4 linked regions of the Arabidopsis thaliana genome follow. The protein of the gene in region 2 interacts with the protein of the main gene of each other region in a pairwise test. Each region holds a gene or a part of one and is shown on either strand. Other genes may lie near its edges. The genes, in order: AT3G16180, DHAR1, AT3G46370 and AT1G52550.

The links.
Region 1: the proteins of DHAR1 (region 2) and AT3G16180 interact in a protein complementation assay, tested with the Arabidopsis thaliana proteins (one large-scale study listed by BioGRID).
Region 3: the proteins of DHAR1 (region 2) and AT3G46370 interact in a protein complementation assay, tested with the Arabidopsis thaliana proteins (one large-scale study listed by BioGRID).
Region 4: the proteins of DHAR1 (region 2) and AT1G52550 interact in a protein complementation assay, tested with the Arabidopsis thaliana proteins (one large-scale study listed by BioGRID).

What each region holds. Positions count from the first base shown.
Region 1 is NC_003074.8:5,480,806-5,486,949, forward strand, and holds AT3G16180 (Major facilitator superfamily protein), read right to left. Parts: upstream 4,383-6,144; 5' UTR 4,139-4,382; coding exon 4,036-4,138; intron 3,950-4,035; coding exon 3,732-3,949; intron 3,726-3,731; exon of another isoform or gene 2,212-3,725; intron 2,204-2,211; coding exon 1,647-2,203; intron 1,570-1,646; coding exon 672-1,569; 3' UTR 520-671; downstream 1-519. Other genes in the region: AT3G16175 (Thioesterase superfamily protein), read left to right, coding at 1-100, 233-403. UniProt on the Arabidopsis thaliana protein: Low-affinity nitrate transporter involved in xylem-to-phloem transfer for redistributing nitrate into developing leaves. Not involved in dipeptides transport.
Region 2 is NC_003070.9:6,772,748-6,776,144, forward strand, and holds DHAR1 (dehydroascorbate reductase), read right to left. Parts: upstream 1,777-3,397; 5' UTR 1,667-1,776; coding exon 1,609-1,666; intron 1,485-1,608; coding exon 1,394-1,484; intron 1,208-1,393; coding exon 715-1,207; 3' UTR 555-714; downstream 1-554. Other genes in the region: AT1G19565 (uncharacterized protein), read right to left, coding at 132-223, 332-384; GAMMA CA1 (gamma carbonic anhydrase 1), read left to right, coding at 2,190-2,304, 2,559-2,702, 3,268-3,393. UniProt on the Arabidopsis thaliana protein: Displays a dual function. As a soluble protein, exhibits glutathione-dependent thiol transferase and dehydroascorbate (DHA) reductase activities. Key component of the ascorbate recycling system.
Region 3 is NC_003074.8:17,049,891-17,056,024, forward strand, and holds AT3G46370 (Leucine-rich repeat protein kinase family protein), read left to right. Parts: upstream 1-1,629; 5' UTR 1,630-2,064; coding exon 2,065-2,423; intron 2,424-2,508; coding exon 2,509-2,984; intron 2,985-3,078; coding exon 3,079-3,223; intron 3,224-3,325; coding exon 3,326-3,397; intron 3,398-3,470; coding exon 3,471-3,542; intron 3,543-3,624; coding exon 3,625-3,702; intron 3,703-3,798; coding exon 3,799-3,971; intron 3,972-4,090; coding exon 4,091-4,308; intron 4,309-4,427; coding exon 4,428-4,554; intron 4,555-4,669; coding exon 4,670-4,735; intron 4,736-4,911; coding exon 4,912-5,101; intron 5,102-5,218; coding exon 5,219-5,624; downstream 5,625-6,134.
Region 4 is NC_003070.9:19,572,200-19,575,683, forward strand, and holds AT1G52550 (uncharacterized protein), read right to left. Parts: upstream 1,861-3,484; 5' UTR 1,801-1,860; coding exon 1,557-1,800; intron 1,138-1,556; coding exon 986-1,137; 3' UTR 556-985; downstream 1-555. Other genes in the region: AT1G52560 (HSP20-like chaperones superfamily protein), read right to left, coding at 2,584-3,002, 3,288-3,484.

The sequences.
Region 1 (6,144 bases), on a different chromosome or scaffold from region 2:
GATGGACTCGATCGGAGCGTCAGCTGTGTACTCCTCCGGCGGCGGACTCCATATCTCTGTTGATCTCAACTCTTCGTTTTATTCAACGGCCAAGATTCACGTTCGCTTTCCCTATCCTCATTTTTCTCTCGTTTTTTTTGTTATGAAACATGCAAACTACTAAATTAGGTAAATTACTATTATTAGTAATGATTAGAAGTAATAATGATAAGAAAAAACTACAAAATTGCAGGAAACGGTAGAGATAGAAGCAAGAGTGAATGGAAGCAATGGAGGATTAAAATCAGCTGTGATTGAGATTAGAAGAGAAACAAGTGGAGAAATTATAGCCACAGGAAGATTGTGGATGGCTCCACTTAGCGTCAAAGCCATACAAAATGTTTCTACTCTTAGTAAGCTTTGATTTTTTCTTAATTTAAGTGATTCAATTTCCCAAAGTCAAAAACACCACAAATCACCATTTTGAAAATTTGATTCTCTTCAATCAAATATCATACACACAATGTTTTTTTTTTTTTTGTAATAATTAAATAAACACACGACCCATTAATTAACATCAACCTCTACATCCTAAGAAAATCCAAATCCATGATATAATAATCTAATTACATACAAATATATAGAATTTTATAACACACGTACACCATTTAATTATGATCAACCAATTGGTCTTAGTTTAATTTAATAACTTCCTCTTCTTCTTTTCTCATACCATTAACCTTATCATTCCTCACCTGATCCACCGTAGGACCATAGGACCAGCTACACACAACGTAGTAGATGACATTAACGAAGCTCAAGATCGCTAAAACCCAATAGTAATAGTCATAGTGACCCTTGTTGATGTTATCTTCAATCCAGCTCACATTGCCCTGCTTTGAGCTATTCTTTACCGCATTTAGGATCACACTAGCCAAGATATTAGCCACTGCCATTCCTAGACCGAACAACGAAGCTGCGATACTCGACATGCTTTTAGGAAACTCGGTATAGAAAAACTCGGTCTGTCCTATCCCGGTCAAGGCCTCTGCTAAACCGTGTAGTACATACTGTGGTACAAGCCACATTGCTGAGATGCTCACTGTTGAGTTGGCATCGTTTGCGAGTCCTTGGCTTATCGCGGTTTTCCTTCTGTAATGTTCAACAGTTGCGGAAACCGCCATTGCTAAGAATGATATGAATAGCCCTAATCCCATTCGAATCTTGACATTGACTCTAACTGGTCTGCCTCGGATCTTTGAAGCTAAAGGGAGAATTGCGCGGTCGTACAGAACAACCCATGAGATTAAGGCTATGATTGTGAACATACCAAACGATCCAGCTGGGATTTGGAAGGTCGAATTGCTGCTTAAACGTCTGTCCATTGATTTAGCTTGAAGCAACTGAAAAGAGTTCTGGCTAACGTTTATCGACATCATTATCCCCGTGGACCATACCGGTATCACCTTGACCAACGCCTTGAGTTTCTCAACTTGGTCCGTTGTGCATAGCCTCCACTGGTTTAAGGCCAAACCATCAGAACCAAGGTCTTCATCGCGGTTACTTATGGCACAAGCTTTGTTTAAAAACCTAAGCAATTGCAAGAAAGTATCAATAAATAAAAAAACTAACCAAGAACTATATATGTGAAACTGATTTCACTTTACCTCAATTTGTCACTTGGAGCTTTGAGTTCAGAATCTTTCAAACGGTAATAACAATCTCTGGAGTCATGATGATCCGGCAAAGTTAAGTTTCTCTTCACGTAAGCTGCAGCAACCACTTGAGCTAAACCAGTGAACAGACTCTTGCTCACATCGCGCTTAACGTAGAGAGGAGACGCGAAAACAAACAAGAAACCCGCGAGCAGCATGAGAATCGCGGGTATTCCAAACCCGATTTTCCATCCTAGATGATCTTGAATGTAAACAATGACGGTGAAAGCGATCAAGACAGCAACTGATGAAGAAGCGTAGTACCAACCAAAGAAACTCTCAAGAACTCTCTCGTTCTTAGGATTCTCTTTGTTGTCCAATTGATCAGCACCAAAGGCTAAAGAACATGGCCTGATTCCTCCTGATCCAATCGATATTAATGCGAATGCGGTATACAAGAGAGCCAATTGAGAAGATGTCGCGGAACTGCAGTTGGTTCCGGCTGTTGCTACACACGGTGATGGTTTTACTTGCGGCAACATCGCCGTTAGCCATAGAACCACCATCCCCTGTAACATTTTTGATTCAGACAAATTTATTAAAACAATGTAGTAGGTTAGATTTTGACGTTTTTGTTTTTCATAATAAAAATGTAGTTATCACTTCATTCGTAAAATCTGTAGATGTCTTCCAAAAAAAGTACTTCCAAGAACAAGAATCCAAGTATTAGATCAGAATCTACACGTACGTCAATTGTCACATCCATCATACGAAAACATTATTTTCTTACGGAAAATGATTGATACTCGAGATGAATGATTGATGTAGAGATTTCAAAATCAATTGATGTCACTATGTATATGATAAGTTTTTTTTTCCAAGTGGGTGAAATAATAAGTTTGATCAAGAATGGGACAAGTAGTACAAAAACATGGGTCACCAATCGATATTGCTTTCATGTCTAACACTTATATGTTGGCCAAAAAACTAATGTCAAATCCTTAAATGGTGGCAAAATGTAGGTCCACGTCAGCTTGACCCATATATTTGGACATATAAATAATGAAACTCTAAGTCTACATACAACAAAAAGTAATAACAAAATGATATTTTTTATACATAGAGAGATGCAAGCAGTGTGGTCACTCACAATCACACAAGTTGCCAGAGAAAGCCCACAAGACCATAACCACAAGGAAAGCAACAAACAAGATTTTAAGGAATTAATAATGATATTAAATACTTTATGATTATTTAAGACCTGTTATTATATAAACTCACATGGACATTTCAGAACACCTGGCTTCGAATTTAATTTTACCGACTTTTATATTTTTGATGGACACAAATATTAAAAACAAATCAAAGCGGGTTTAGTTTCTCCATTCATTGGACAGCAATTTCAGGGAAGCACATGCAACATGTGAAAATTTTGACTCTTAATGGAAAAAGGCTTCTAAAAAGCTTAATCATATCAACTCTTAAATTAGAAATTTCACTGTAGATGATTATCATTAGATATTATAGTACTTAAAGCAGAAATATACAGCTATCAATGATTTAGCAAAACCAACGGTAAAAAGTTATAAAATTTTAGTAAAAACCCCTGAAATTTACCATACCAATCTTTTTTTTACTATTTCGAGAATATAAAATAATTAAATAATTACATACAAAACCTCGTACCATTTAATTCTTGGCCCTTAATTCTATGACTTGGTTAGATTTTATGGAATTCTCTTTTTGTTGTCGACGCAAGTAAAGTCAAGTCCAATTATCGAAAACTATCAAACCGGAATTTAACTCCAATTATCAATGCATGTAAGTAAGGTCCAATTGTCTAAAGCCAAGTAATAAAACACTGAATACAAGCACGATATTTCACCCAAATCAACTTAAACCGAAACTTTCGGTTTAGATTCCCAATTTTAATAAAACTCAACCTTTACTGACAGTAAACATAAACAAAGCATTTCCAAACCAAAGGCTAACTAGGTGGTGAAAAATGTTGAGTCAAAGAAGTGGCTAAAAAATTGAACCGGAGTAAACCGGGAGAAAGAAGAAGCGTAAACCGGTTAAATAGGGGACGGAAATTACCAGGAGACTGGAGAGAGAAGCAATGACAATGGTGAGAAAGCGACCCAAATATGAATCTGAGAGAAAAGCTCCAACGAGAGGCATGAAATTAGTAGCAGCAACCCACATGAACAAGACAGTTTGTCCTTTAACAAGTCCCAATCTGTAATCACTCATCAGATAAAGAATCATGTTCTGTAATAATCCATAGCTCGCCACTTTCTCGAACCCCTCGTTTGCTTCACCGAGTAACAAACAAGATGAGATAAAATTAGTAACAAGATTTGGGTTTTTGTCTAAAAAAGTGAGAGAGATCGTTTGTTACCAATGATGAAGGGCATAGTGAGAAGACCACCCTTTGTTCTTCTTCTTGTAATGGGTTGTTGAAGAGTCTCCTTTGACTCTGTTTGATCCGGAGGGTTCTCCATTGTTGTTACCTTTCAAGCTTCGAGAGAGGGGAAGAGAGAAAAGTGAAAAAGAGAAGAGAAGGAGGAGAAGATCTTTGTCTTTGTGAGAGTTTTGAGTTAATGCGATCTTATTTTTCAGTTCAGACAGCGAGGAATCTCTGTTTTCTGCGACGAGTGAGCAATAATAAATGGCTGTTATTTAAATACTACATTTTCTTTTTCCCTCAAGGCAAATTGTTTTTTAATTTTTTAATTTTATTAATTAATTTATCATAATGATTTTTATAGAGTGAGGTTTTATCCTATATGGCACACGACAATTTTCATTCTTAGTTAGAACTTAGAAATGATTTGTTAGTAGTATGAAAGAAAAAAAGTTAGATAAAACGTCATTTTCCTAATCTTAGCTAAATACAAGTTGAAACATAAATGCCAGAAATATTCGTTTTTTTGTGAAGAAAATATCTAAAATGGAGAAGATTAACTTACATAGATATTTCAAAAAGAAGAGAAAAGAAAAAAACAGTACATTGTACATCAAACTTCCAATGTTCCATCATCCATGTTACTTACGTCAAACATAAAATGGTCTGGTGTTATTGACTTATTTTTGAAATAAATCCAATTTATTATTATTTATGTACATTTCAAATTAGTTAAATATGTTAATGTTATATACTTCGAAACCATAACTATTCTATAGATTTTTTGATGAAATAGTTGTTGGAAGTGAATTTGCAATGTAGAAGAATCAATCACAAGAATTTCAATATTGTATTATCTTCTAAAGATGTCTTCTAATCAGACTTAAACTCTTAAAAAGTTTATGAGAGCTTCAACTATATCATTATACTGTAACTAAACATGTAAATGGCTTTCCACAAATCACATCCAATTATCGAAAGGAACGGATCAAAAATCATAACAAAAGTTTACTAATAATTGAGAATGGAAAACATCCCATGAGGTTAACAGCTTTTGTTTTGGCTCTCTCTCTTCCTCTTTTCTTGACAAATTGAAACTTTTTGTTATTCAATTCTTTTTTTTCAGTTTAAAGTTAAAAAATGGATTCATTAAAGTAAGTGCAATCATATATAAAGTTTTTTTTAATTCGCTTTCTCCTTATCACACTAATAAGTCAACATCTCAAAGAGTCGGCCCAAAGAATATAATAAAATAATAGCATACGAAAGTTTACCAAACCCATGTAACAATTGACCTCATGAATAATAGTTTATGTTTTAACAAAAATATGAATAATAGTATATGTTTAACTGTATAATTTTCTATGTATCTAAGAAGTTTCGGACTTTACGATGTATAGTAACTTCGACCAAGAGATTAAATTAGTAGTTTTCCCTGCTAATGTCGACTTTAAGACGAACCCCATCTTATAAAGTTACTCGTATCTAATCGGTTAAACTATCCATTCCAAATTAACAATTATATTTTCTTATGTGACTTAATCCAAATAATGAATGCAAAGAAAACTAACATTCATTATTCACAAAACATTATATATTGCTAAACAATATCATACTGTTAGATTCTGAGGATATAAACTACTGTATCAAAATACTTATCACTAATTTGTGATTCTATATCCTACAGGCTATATATCATTATACGCTAAGTAATTACGTTTCCAAGTTAAATGATACAAGTATTTGAAAGTTTCTGCCTAAACCAGATTATAAGTAAAGTACTTATGTTCAGTACAAAATTAAAAATGGTGCAACCAGATTTGAATGAAAAAGTTCGTACAAAATTAAGTGCGGTGTCTGATGATGGCAGAAGACTCGCTAGTAGGAACCAAAAATGAAATTTCATTATCCAAAAATTTATTTGTGGTCTTTCATGCATCCACATGAACAGTTTCAATACCAAATACCTAATTTAGTTTTTAAAAAAAATCGTAATTAATCAATACATCAAGAATTCAACATTAGATTATCCTGCTATTAAAAAAATCTCTTAAAATAATTTCTTAGAACATTAGAATAATTTAAAAACAAAAAGTGAATAAA
Region 2 (3,397 bases):
TTTGATGCAAATCATGAAAATCGCTGGTCATCCACAATAAAATCCGATTACCTTACGACTGCTGACGGTGCGACTATAACTGCCTTCTCCCAGGAACATTCTTGGAAAATCTCACCCAACCCTACATTCACCCGCCCAAGAACATTGTATCGCAGAACGATATGGTTGATTTGTGGGATGTAAAGATCGGTAAGACTCTCGAGTCTCGACAAGACTTATGTTTCTGAGGAAGAACTCCTCAAAACCATCAAAGGTGATCAGTTAAACCATAAAAACAGTTTCTGATATCCAATATTCATCAGTCCAAACTCCAAAGTATTAAACGAGTCACTTGCATTTGCAGAGACCCAGCCTCCAATGGATTTTTTTGTGGGTTTGATCCATACGGTCCTTGCGAAGAGCGACTTTACCTCCTTGACTATAGATCCTTCTTTTGGAGTTAAGACTTCTGAGCTTTATCCTGAGGTCAAGTACACAAGTACTGTCGATGAGTTTCTTAAATAATTTGTCTGAAAAAACCCTTGTCCCTTATGTTACGTGTAGCCAGTGTTTATCCGAGTTTCGATATGGAGGCAAATCTTATTTCAAAATAGGCTTCTTATTTGATTGATACAGTACATTACATAAAAAGGTCCAAGTACATTATTTGACTGATATAAGAGAGAGACCTTGAACAACATTACCACACCAACGATCTCATAACGGTGCATAGTTTCAAGGGTTAACCTTGGGAGCCCATCCAGAGATCACATACTTTTCCTCGGTCTTAGTTTTCTCAAAAGAGTCGAGCGAGAACAGAGTCTTCATGTAGTTATGGACATGGGGAAAGCTCTCAGGGACAGACCAGCTTTTGAAATGGCCAAGAGCAACTTGAAGGTGGTAAAGCTTTGGTGCTAAGCTTAGATCCACTGCGGAAACTCTTTCTCCGGCGATAAAAGGGCCATCGTGACTCTTAAGATGGTTTTCCAAAGCTTCTAGCTCAACAAGCAAGGCATGTTCAGATCCGTCATTGGAGTCTTTGCTCTTCAAGAATGTCCCAAAAGTACCAAAAATGTTGGATCCAACAGAGGCAAATTCAGCAGGAGTCTTGAGTGGTGGATCAGGATACTTCTCCTCGAGTATACCAACGATGACGTCGGAATCAGTCACCCACTTGTCGTCGATCTTAAGCACTGGTACTTTCCCTTGAGGACTAATGTCCAAGAACCTGCATCATATATAAAACCAAAGCCACCAATTTCAAGTTCCGGTTAACACAATGCTCGCACATGAAGCCAATCCAATTTCCGGTTAACACAAAGCTCGTACCAGTTACAAGTAAAATTTCAGAGATTATGGCTAAACAAGTTCAAACTAGACCGATCTTAAGGGTTTAGGCGTGAGAGAAACTGACCACTGGGGTTTGTCAGAGAGGTTAATCAGATGGATTTTGTAGGTAAGACTCTTCTCCTCGAGTGTGAGAAGAGCCCGTTGGCTGAACGGACCTAAAACGACAAACAAACACTTAAATTAGTAAATTTACCAACGATCAAAGCTCAGAAATTAAGAATTGCAAAATCAAAAGCTTAATGCAAAACAAAAACAGAGAGAGAAAGAGAAGATGGTTACAGTCGCCGAGATGATCAGGAGCACCAACAGCAGCTTTCACACAGATTTCCAGAGCCATCTTGATTCTTCTTCCTTTGTTTGCAGAGACGGATGAATGATTGAGTTAATCAGTGAGAAGGCTTAGCTTTTAAACTGAATTATTACCATTCTCCACCCACCAGTGGGCCATTTTTACCCGATGTTTATCTTTTCTCACGTGTTATGCGTTGCAAGTGACGACGATACGAAACGACATTGTTACTGATAGGGCCATTTGATTTTTGGTCGGCAGGTTTTGGACCGTTCAATTTAGTGAAAATATAGTAATAAATTCGTACCGAATAATATAATCGGTTTAATGAAACTACTACCTGAAATATCGAATTAGATTTGGTTCATATTTCGTATTGTTTTGGTTCGATTAAACCATATTAAACCACTGTAACTGTAATTTATTGTTTCGCCGTCCCGGAATGTTCCTGTTGAAATCCATTTTCGCTGATTTTTTTTCTTCCGTCTCTTCTTCAGCTTCGACCATTTTCGTCTTCTTCATTCAGTGTTGAGTCCTCGTTTACCTGTGAGCTCGAAGAAAGTGACGATCAATGGGAACCCTAGGCAGAGCATTTTACTCGGTCGGTTTTTGGATCCGTGAGACTGGTCAAGCTCTTGATCGCCTCGGTTGTCGCCTTCAAGGCAAAAATTACTTCCGAGAACAACGTAAGATTCTGCGTAACTCTATTTTTCACTCCGATTTCGAATTCGTAAAGAGTGAGGAGTTTCGATTGGGTAATTCAGCTCACCTATTCTGGTTAGGTTAGAGATCTGGAATTGATGTCTTTGTAGGTATAGCGATTCTGGATTCGAATGGCACAAGGGATTAATTGATGTGGAATGTGTTTTGCTGCTTAGTTTTTTTTTTGTTTCCTGGTCACGAAATTTGCTTATATGTAATTGTGGTTTTCTCTGTGTAGTGTCAAGGCATCGGACACTGATGAATGTATTTGATAAGGCTCCGATTGTGGACAAGGAAGCTTTTGTGGCACCAAGCGCCTCAGTTATTGGGGACGTTCACATTGGAAGAGGATCGTCCATTTGGTATGGATGCGTATTACGAGGTGAGCTAGCTACTAAGCCTCAATGTTTGGTGTTTGGTGGTTGACTATTTTAGTGACTGAAGTTTTGTTTGAAATAGTATCTACTTCTGTATCCTTAGCTGTGTCAACTCTTACGATAGAAAATAGTGAACGAATATCTGTTTTTTACTCTTCTGGTTAAGCGATGAACAAGACTACTACTCAAAATGGAGCTTTCTAGCTTTATTGAAGGATCTTAAACAGATCATTACTACATATCGTATCTTGATGATACTGGCAGTTGCTCTAATGGGTGATTGGGTATATGATATCCCCAATCATATACAGAATGCTTTCATGTCATAACACCAGAATTAGTTGAACGATATCATATACAGATTATTGAGTTTGAGTTGAATCCTTATTGCGAGTATGAGTTGGCTAGTCTGGATTTTTATTTAATGGTGATGAAATAGGGTTGTCCTTTTTACAGAATGCTTTCATGTCATAACACATTGGTACTGTATGGCTAAGCCTGTTAGTACTTTACCAGGAAACTGGGATAACATACAATCTAAACTTGCTTTCTCTCTTTTTTTCTGCGCAGGCGATGTGAACACCGTAAGTGTTGGGTCAGGAACTAATATTCAGGACAACTCACTTGTGCATGTGGCAAAATCAAACTTAAGCGGGAAGGTGCACCCAACCATAATTGGAGACAATGTAACCATTGGTTA
Region 3 (6,134 bases), on a different chromosome or scaffold from region 2:
GATATGAACAATACGAAATCAAATAAAACATAAACGGTTAATTCGATGGACTGAAATAACCACCGCGAGTATCAAAACCGAACAAAACAAACTAGTTATACTTGTAATATGGCAAATATAGTTTATATTAATAAGAGTGTTTTCACGCCCGATCCAGAAATCGTGCGGTCCGATCGGTTAACCCGCGATCCGGACACCTCTCCATGGTTTAGTGTTAACATCTTGTAATTTTAATACCAAAAAACAACCACAAAAATCTGCCATTAACTCGTGATCTGGTGAACCGGTTCAACCGACCGGGTTTGAATTTAACAAAATTCATTTAATTTTTTGTTTTTTGGAATAAAATATAGGAGTTTAGTGTATTCAATGTTCAGTTATTTTAAGAACTTTTTCTAGTTCTTCCTTTTCTCAATCATCATGAAGACACTAATCCTTAAAAGTTAAATGGTATCAACAACTTAAGAGCTAGATTGTTTTACAATTAAACTACTTTCGTTTTTAATTTGAAATATTAGATATTTCGATAATAATATCTACAAATTTACTCCATATAATTTAAGGAAATTTATCATAGTGACCTATATTTTGTGTTTTATTACTAGAATGACATGCCAAAAATATGGGTTATATGTGTAATATTTATGTCTAAAATGCCCTTGTTTTGCTTTGTAGAATAAAATAATATTATAAGAATGCCATTAATAAAAACATTTATTTTTAAAAAAACTAAAATTTATTTACGATATTGCTACTCTGTCTTTTTACTAGATTTTGATAAATTTGTTGCTCTGGTTGCGACAATTTTGTTTTGGACCACATATTTTTTGGTCCACCATAGATTTTGTTTGACAGGCTTTTTTGTACCACAAACTTCTTTGAATATTTGAAGCATCTTGATGATTTTTTTTCGGGACAGATTTGTTTTATGTAGTCTCCCTAGATTTTTTTTCTAAAACTTTAATATCTTGAATGGTTGTGTAAGATACCTGCCACATATTTGTTTTTGAGCAGCAATTTTTTTATTGTGTTGGCAACATCTTGTTTTATTTAAACAAAAAAATACCGTTTAATAAAAAAAAATAAACCAAAGAAATGATTTATAATGAGGATAGATTTGTTTTATGTAATCACATACTTTATAAACTAGTCTATAAATCTGGCATTTTCGATTCACATAATGAATAACAGATTTGTTTTTAATCATGCTATTTATATTTTTCGGATCCAAAGCATAACATATTTTCTCATATCATATTATGCCCGATTTAATTATGACTAGAATAATTTTTTTAGTGATGACGGACTTTTCGTTAGCAGATTTGTTTTTAAAATTTTGATACATCTAGTTTCATGAGACTTATTATATAGCCTCTAGTAAAACTAAAGTACAACACAACTCCAAATCTTACCGTTTTGATTGTATGTTTACACTAGTTTGATTGCATTTGGTTACGACACATTTTTACTAGATCCAACAGATTTGTTAAGTTTAAATATCAAAATTCTTTATTTATTTATTTAAAAGGAATTTAATTAAAAACGTGATTAAAAGTTAGTTAGTCTTTCTACATAAAATTCGGGTTTGTATTATAGTTATTTACTTGGATTAGGAGTCATTTGTCATTTATGCTAAGATTTTAGTCAATCTGGATAAATCTCAATACTCCTATCTAGAAGTTTATCTAGTAATACTAGAAGTTTGACCTTGAATTTATGAGTTCAATGGGTTGAACCTGGTCGCTGGTTTAATGGTATCTCTCTTTTTCCTTTTGAGATAGAAGAAAAGAGACGAGAAAAAATTTGATACCATCAGTTCTGATTTTTTCATTTTATTTTTGGTTTAATTACTATTAACCTTTTTATTTATCTCTTTAAACAGGGTTCATCAGTTTTGATTGTGGGTTATCGCCGGATGAACAGTCTCCTTATAATGAGGAAACTGGATTACAGTTCTTATCAGATTCAAGTGTCATCCAAAGTGGACAAATTGGTAAAATTGATGCAAGTGTGGAGTGGAAGTACCCAAAGTCACAGACAACGTTGAGATACTTTCCAGACGGAATGCGAAACTGTTACAATCTTAGTGTGCATAAAGAAACAAAGTATTTGATTAGGGTTACAAGTAACTATGGAAATTACGATGGTCGTAACGAACCTCCTAGATTTGATTTGTACTTAGGCCCTAACTTCTGGGTAACAATAGATTTGGGGAAGCATGTAAATGGTGATACATGGAAGGAGATTATTCATATCCCAAAGTCAAACTCTCTAGATGTGTGTCTTATCAAAACAGGTACAACAACGCCAATTATATCGACCTTGGAACTAAGGTCTCTACCAAAGTATAGTTACAACGCAATATCAGGTTCTTTGAAGTCGACACTGAGGGCATTCCTAAGCGAATCAACAGAAGTTATAAGGTACGTCACCATTAAATTGATATTAAGGTTTTTTGACTCGTTCCATCGTCCATTGTTAATAATACAAGATTGTGTTGAAGCTCAGGTACCCAAATGATTTCTACGATCGGATGTGGGTTCCACATTTTGAGACGGAATGGAAGCAAATTTCTACCAATCTCAAAGTGAACAGCTCCAATGGTTATCTTCTGCCACAGGATGTGCTCATGACCGCCGCAATACCTGTGAATACTAGTGCACGATTGAGTTTTACCGAGAATCTTGAGTTCCCTCATGATGAACTTTACCTGTACTTCCACTTCTCTGAGGTCCAAGTCTTACAGGCCAACCAGAGTAGAGAGTTCAGCATTTTGTGGAACGGAATGGTTATTTACCCAGATTTTATCCCTGACTATCTTGGTGCCGCCACTGTGTACAACCCGTCACCATCTCTTTGTGAAGTAGGGAAATGCTTATTAGAGCTTGAAAGAACTCAGAAATCAACTCTCCCGCCTCTCCTTAACGCCATTGAAGTTTTCACAGTGATGAATTTTCCACAGTCTGAGACAAACGATGATGATGGTACTTTTTTTCTTCTTCTTAATGGTAGTTAAGTATTGTATGGGGAATGTGGTCTAAATCCAATTAACCTGTTTGTCGGGAAATTTTATGACAGTAATTGCTATAACAAAGATCAAAGACACACACAGATTGAATAGAACCTCCTGGCAAGGAGATCCATGCGTCCCTCAACTGTTTTCGTGGGCCGGTCTAAGTTGCATTGACACGAATGTATCTACCCCACCAAGAATCATTTCCCTGTAAGACCTCTATAACACAATCACTCTTTAGACTTGTGAGAAAAACTTGTCTAACTAAACTTATACTTGTTTATTTTTCTTCTTGTTTGGACTTATACACAGAAACTTGTCTTCAAGTGGGTTAACAGGAAACATAGCAACTGGAATTCAAAATCTGACCAAACTGCAAAAGCTGTAAGTATGACCATTTAAAGAAAAATGTTATATACGTCCGTTACCTTTCTTATTGATTTCTTACAAACTTCAGGGACTTGTCAAATAACAATTTGACAGGAGTAGTGCCCGAATTTCTAGCTAACATGAAATCGTTGCTGTTCATGTAAGTTTCCCAAAAGGTTTTGGTGGTTTTTTTCCCATGGATCATCTTCACCTAAGTATGTAGATTTCTCTGGTTTTAACAGAGACTTGAGGAAGAACAAACTGAATGGTTCAATACCAAAGACTCTACTTGATAGAAAAAAGAAAGGACTACAATTATTGTAAGAAGGAAATTCATCCACGCACATTTTAATTCAAGATCCATTGCCTTGTTAAATTCATCAAAACACTAAAAGATCGATATATTATTTTTGTAGTGTTGATGGCGATGATGATAAGGGCGATGATAATAAGTGTTTATCCGGTTCATGTGTCCCAAAAATGAAATTCCCATTGATGATTGTTGCATTAGCGGTTTCTGCGGTTGTGGTCATTGCAGTGGTAATGATTCTCATTTTTCTGTTCAGAAAGAAAAAGAAATCAAGTTTAGGTATTTGCATAGACTCACCAAATATTAACTAACAAACTATACAATATAAATTAAAATGTCACTGATATTGTTGTTTCTCTACATATATCTATCCCCTTTTCTTGTTATGCCACAAATAGGTATTACGTCAGCTGCTATATCTGAAGAATCGATTGAGACGAAAAGGAGAAGGTTTACCTATTCTGAAGTTGTGGAAATGACAAAAAACTTCCAAAAAACTCTAGGTGAAGGAGGGTTCGGAACCGTGTATTATGGTAATTTGAATGGTTCAGAGCAAGTAGCGGTTAAAGTACTCTCGCAATCATCATCACAGGGCTATAAACACTTCAAGGCAGAGGTATGATATGCCATAAATCGTCTATAGAATCGCACAAAATTTAAAAGAAATCATGATCTATATAGATATATATTTAGCATCACGTTAAGCAAACATATTTTGTCATTGTTGGTCTATAGGTCGAACTTCTTTTAAGAGTTCACCACATAAATTTGGTGAGTCTTGTTGGATATTGCGATGAAAGAAATCACTTGGCCCTCATCTACGAATGCATGTCCAATGGAGACTTAAAAGATCATTTGTCAGGTGAAAGATGTATATATGCAAATATAAATATATATATATATATATATATATATATATATATATATATATATTATATAAAATTCATAGGACGGTTAATTTTGACAATCTAATACAGGAAAAAAGGGTAACGCTGTTTTGAAATGGAGTACTAGACTACGAATAGCTGTCGATGCTGCGCTAGGTTCGTACTAACTCAAAACAGTTCCAGTGACTTGTCATTTTATATCAATTAGTTACTAATTGTATGCATTTGATACATCTGTTACAAACTTCTCATGATGAATTATTTCCATCAATTTTTACTCACTGGAATTTCTGACATGATCAACTAACAACATGAATGAGTCTCCTGCACAGGATTGGAATACTTGCATTATGGATGTCGACCATCGATAGTGCATAGAGATGTCAAAAGTACCAATATACTGCTGGATGATCAGCTCATGGCCAAAATTGCTGATTTTGGGCTTTCAAGATCATTCAAACTCGGAGAAGAATCACAGGCTTCCACGGTTGTTGCTGGTACTCTTGGATACCTTGATCCCGAGTAAGTACTATTAGTTCACTCCCATGATAAATATGTGTGTAATTTATGTCTACATTCATCTTCATCGTTTATATAGAGGTATACATATAAATCCTACTTCATCTCTTTGTTTTCCAGATATTATAGAACATGTCGGTTGGCTGAGATGAGTGATGTATACAGTTTCGGTATTTTACTACTAGAGATAATCACAAACCAAAATGTGATTGACCATGCCCGCGAAAAGGCTCACATTACAGAATGGGTAGGACTTGTGCTTAAGGGAGGAGATGTTACTAGGATTGTTGATCCTAACCTTGACGGTGAATATAACTCTCGTTCAGTTTGGAGAGCTCTTGAATTGGCTATGTCATGCGCCAACCCTTCTTCAGAACATCGACCAATCATGTCCCAGGTTGTTATCGATCTAAAAGAGTGTTTAAATACTGAAAACTCAATGAAAATAAAGAAAAATGACACGGACAATGATGGTTCTCTGGAACTGAGCTCGAGTGATACTGAGGCGGTCCCTTGTGCAAGGTAGTATTTACATAGACGCTTTGCCTACGTTGATGTGTTTCTGTTGGAAGTGATCAAGTCATGCATCATCTTACTTTATTGTTTTAGAAGAGTCATATATTATATAGTTAAGTAACTGATTAATGTATATTCGTATCACACATCGAAGAGATACGAATATAATTGTTAACTACAAAACAATTACATGTGTGTATGTGTCTCTACATTACGTTGTCTTCTAGAGACGTGTTCCTTAGTGAAAGTGTGTCATATAAACCTATAAATACAGTTTGTATATCTAATAAAAGTGTGTGGTTTTCGTTTTATAAAAACAAAGTGAAATATAGAGTAAGACAAAACAGAGTAAAATCTGTGTTGACCGATCCTTAACAACTTTGAGAGTTCAAAGTTCTACATGGTATCAGAGCTATGGAGACAACAATGCAGCAAGTTATTCCAATCTTCAATGGTGAATCGTATGGCTTTTGAAAAATCAAGATGATAACCATCTTGAAAACAAGGAAGTTGTGGGATG
Region 4 (3,484 bases), about 13 Mb from region 2:
TGCATATCCACACATAGTCACATATAGTATTTATATAGTAATAATTTCATCAAAAGGTATTGTTTTTTGAATTTCAAAGATTTCCTTTTCATGGCCTGTTGATGACACATGACAACTAATCAAAGTTTCCTAATCACACACCTCACCTTGGTGAATCTGTACTTACAAAATCTTGCAATTTTTAATACATACAAAAGTTCAAATACTAGTTTTTTTTATTGTGTATGAAGAAGATCTCTAGATATGGAAATTTATTTGCTATAATCAGAACAAATATAAATTAAACATAGCATAAAATCTTAATTTAGATAGATTGTTAAATTACTCAGTGTGGTCAGAACAAAATGTTAGGCTCTTATCATAAATTTCTGTTTCTAAACTTACTACCAGCCTTTAACCAAAACAGGTCCAACTAATCATGAGCTGGTTAATTCATTGTCCCAGTATTGAATAAGGTTTACCTAAATCCAGTTATTTCTTTTTTCATATCATGAATAAACAACCACTGTTTTAAATATAAATCAAATAATAATTAAATACAACTTTGGAAATATTATATTATATAGAGAGGCCCAATAAAAGAGTATGTTGAAGCCCAAACAAGTTATATAACATATCTAAAGGCCCATTTTATACAACAAACATTCAAATCAAAGAAACGGTGCGGTTTACCGTTTGGCTGAATCAAGCACACACCAAACACATCTAGTCATTTACAATCTGAAACAGCTTTCAATAAACAATGATATTGATTTGGCATTTTGACTTAAATGCAAACTACTTTAGTTTCATCACAGTAGAGTAATCTCTATAGCTCTAAGCTAGAGATATCGTAAGAAGAGAACAATCTAGTTTCTAGTATAAAACTGTAGTCTGACAAGAAATTTGCTTTACTTGGAAGAATATTTCCTCTGTATATATACACAAACGTGTAGAGGAGTTTTCATCAATCATCATCATCATCACCACACCAATCTAACTAATACTATTTGAAGCGTGAACCCTTCTTCCCTTTACCATTACCTTTGCTGCCTCTTCCTTGTAAAGCCGAAGCCCAAAAGAAGAGAGAGATCCAAATTAGTACTGAAAGAAAGATCTTTACACGGTCTTGAATCATCGACGCTACTCCCACAAGACCTACACAAAATGTGATACCAAACAACAACTATGAATCCAAATTGTTAAGAAGATTGCTCTCGTATTGCAACCAATGACTAAACCTGTAGGGAAAAGAAAATGGTGGAACTTTTGGAAGACATTCACAAGTTGTAAAAGGAGGAGATTTATAAATCCTTAATGCTTAACAAGAGTAAAAGTCTATAAATTGTCACAAAGATCAAAACTTTAGCAATGAACAGTAATCGATCTTGAGGACTAAGATTAACATCTTTATCTACGAATCAATAGCAGTTAAACCACCTTCATTCTCCTAATTCGAATTCCGTAATGCAATTTCATCGAATTAGGAAAGATTGAAAAATAGAATTGGCAGTAAACAAAATCAGAACTCAGAGTTGAAACATTGAAGTTTTAAGGGTAAGAAGGGAAAGACGAACTTGTGAGCTCAGTCGTGTTTTTAGGCGGAGGTGGGTCGGGACTAGGCGGCGTTGGAGGGCCGAGAGGAGCGACCGCGATGCGTCGTACAGGTTTTGGAGTGGGGACGAGGAAAAGGGTCTGAGAAGGAAGTGGAGACGACCGGAACGGTGAAAAGAACGACGGAGATGGAAGAGGATGGTTTTTACGGCAGCGATGGAGGTAAAGGTTGGAGCTTGAAGTCGTGTTGGCAAACGCCGTCGCCATTTTCTTCACAAGGTATTTTGGACCTTGTTTTGTTTTCTCATTATTTTAATTTTAATTTATGTATACATTATCAAAAAAATGTTTTTGGTTTTTTCCTTCTTAATACCAAACTAAAAGAAGGAAAATGAAATATTTTCTATAATTTTCCACAAACTATTGAAATATCATGCATTTTTGTTTAACATAAATATTGTGTTTTCTTGACGACAAAAAAAAAAAATATTGTGTTTTCTTTAAAGAAACTGAACTCTGACAATACACTAAAATACTGTACTTATTAATAAATAAATAATTTAATGTATAACATAACTTGTCTATAAAGAAAAATATTTCATAGTATAGTATAGCAAATCCACAATTATTAATACAAAATTTACAAATAAAATTTTGATATGAGGTACAAAAATGGACTTCTTGTTTAATATATCAACATTTTTGTGTTCATGACGTGAATTAGCAATTTACTCCATTGAGCCATTCGCATAGAAAACATAAAAGGGACACAACATTTGCTGCTTCTTTTAATTAATTTTGGCTTCTTTCTTTTGCGAAAATTAACTATGCTGAATAACAATTTATTCCATTCTCATTACAAACACAAAACTGGTTCATTCTTTGCTTGTTCAATTAGTCTATAATGTATTTTCTAGCTTCTTTTGTTTGCGCAAATGAACTAAGTTAATTAGCAACTTAATAACTGATTCCATTCGCATAAACATAAAAAAGGTACAACATTAATTTGCTTAGTCCATCAAAGAACACAAAAACGACACCGTATCTCTTCTACTCAACAGAAATCTCCTGAACATTCTTCTTTGGCTTCTCCGTCCTAGGAATCACAAGATTAAGCACACCATTCTTGAGCTCCGCCTTAATGTCCTCAACCTTAGCATCATCAGGCAACGATAAGCTCGTGTTGTAGTAACCATAACTCTTTGAAGACCAGTACTCGTCTTCCTCAGGTGAGCCTTTCTCTTCCTCCGCCTTGTGATCTCCTTTAATCGTCAAGATTCCATCATTTACCGTGATCTTCACGTCTTCTTTGGTTAGCCCTGGAACCTCGTATCTGAGCTTGTAACAGTCGTCTTGCTCTTTCACTTGACCCATTAGTTGGAATGGATTCACGTTGAAGTTGTCGAAAATTCTGTTCATATTCTCTGTTGCTTGTATCAGAGTATTTCCTATAGTCGGAGGAAAGAACTCTGTTTTAAGAAGAAGAAAAAATTCAATTCAAGCAAAAATAGAGGTTTACATTAATTATGTTTCATGAGATTTAATGCAATGAAAATGTAAATTTAAAATTTGATGTATTTTTATGATTCTAGAATTTCAAATTTTCTTCTTAATTTTTCTTTTATGGGATATATTTTACACTTAAATGTTGAATTTTTTTTATATAATTTATTTCGAAAATATTATTATTGTGACACTATTGAAATTTTCTGCTAAATAGGTATATCAATAATGAACTAAAATGACAAACGTACCATTTAGGGTGGGAGTGAAGTAGCCATGATCGTCGGTGTTACGCCAGAGGCTTTTTCGGCCACGTCTCCGGGGGAAATTCTGTCGAGGAGATTTCTTCTCAGACACACTCACTTCTGTGTTCATCTTATCCTCTTGTTCACCAGCCGAAGTAGCCATGAATCTGTTTAGCTTCATTGGATTATGTCGATTTCCGACC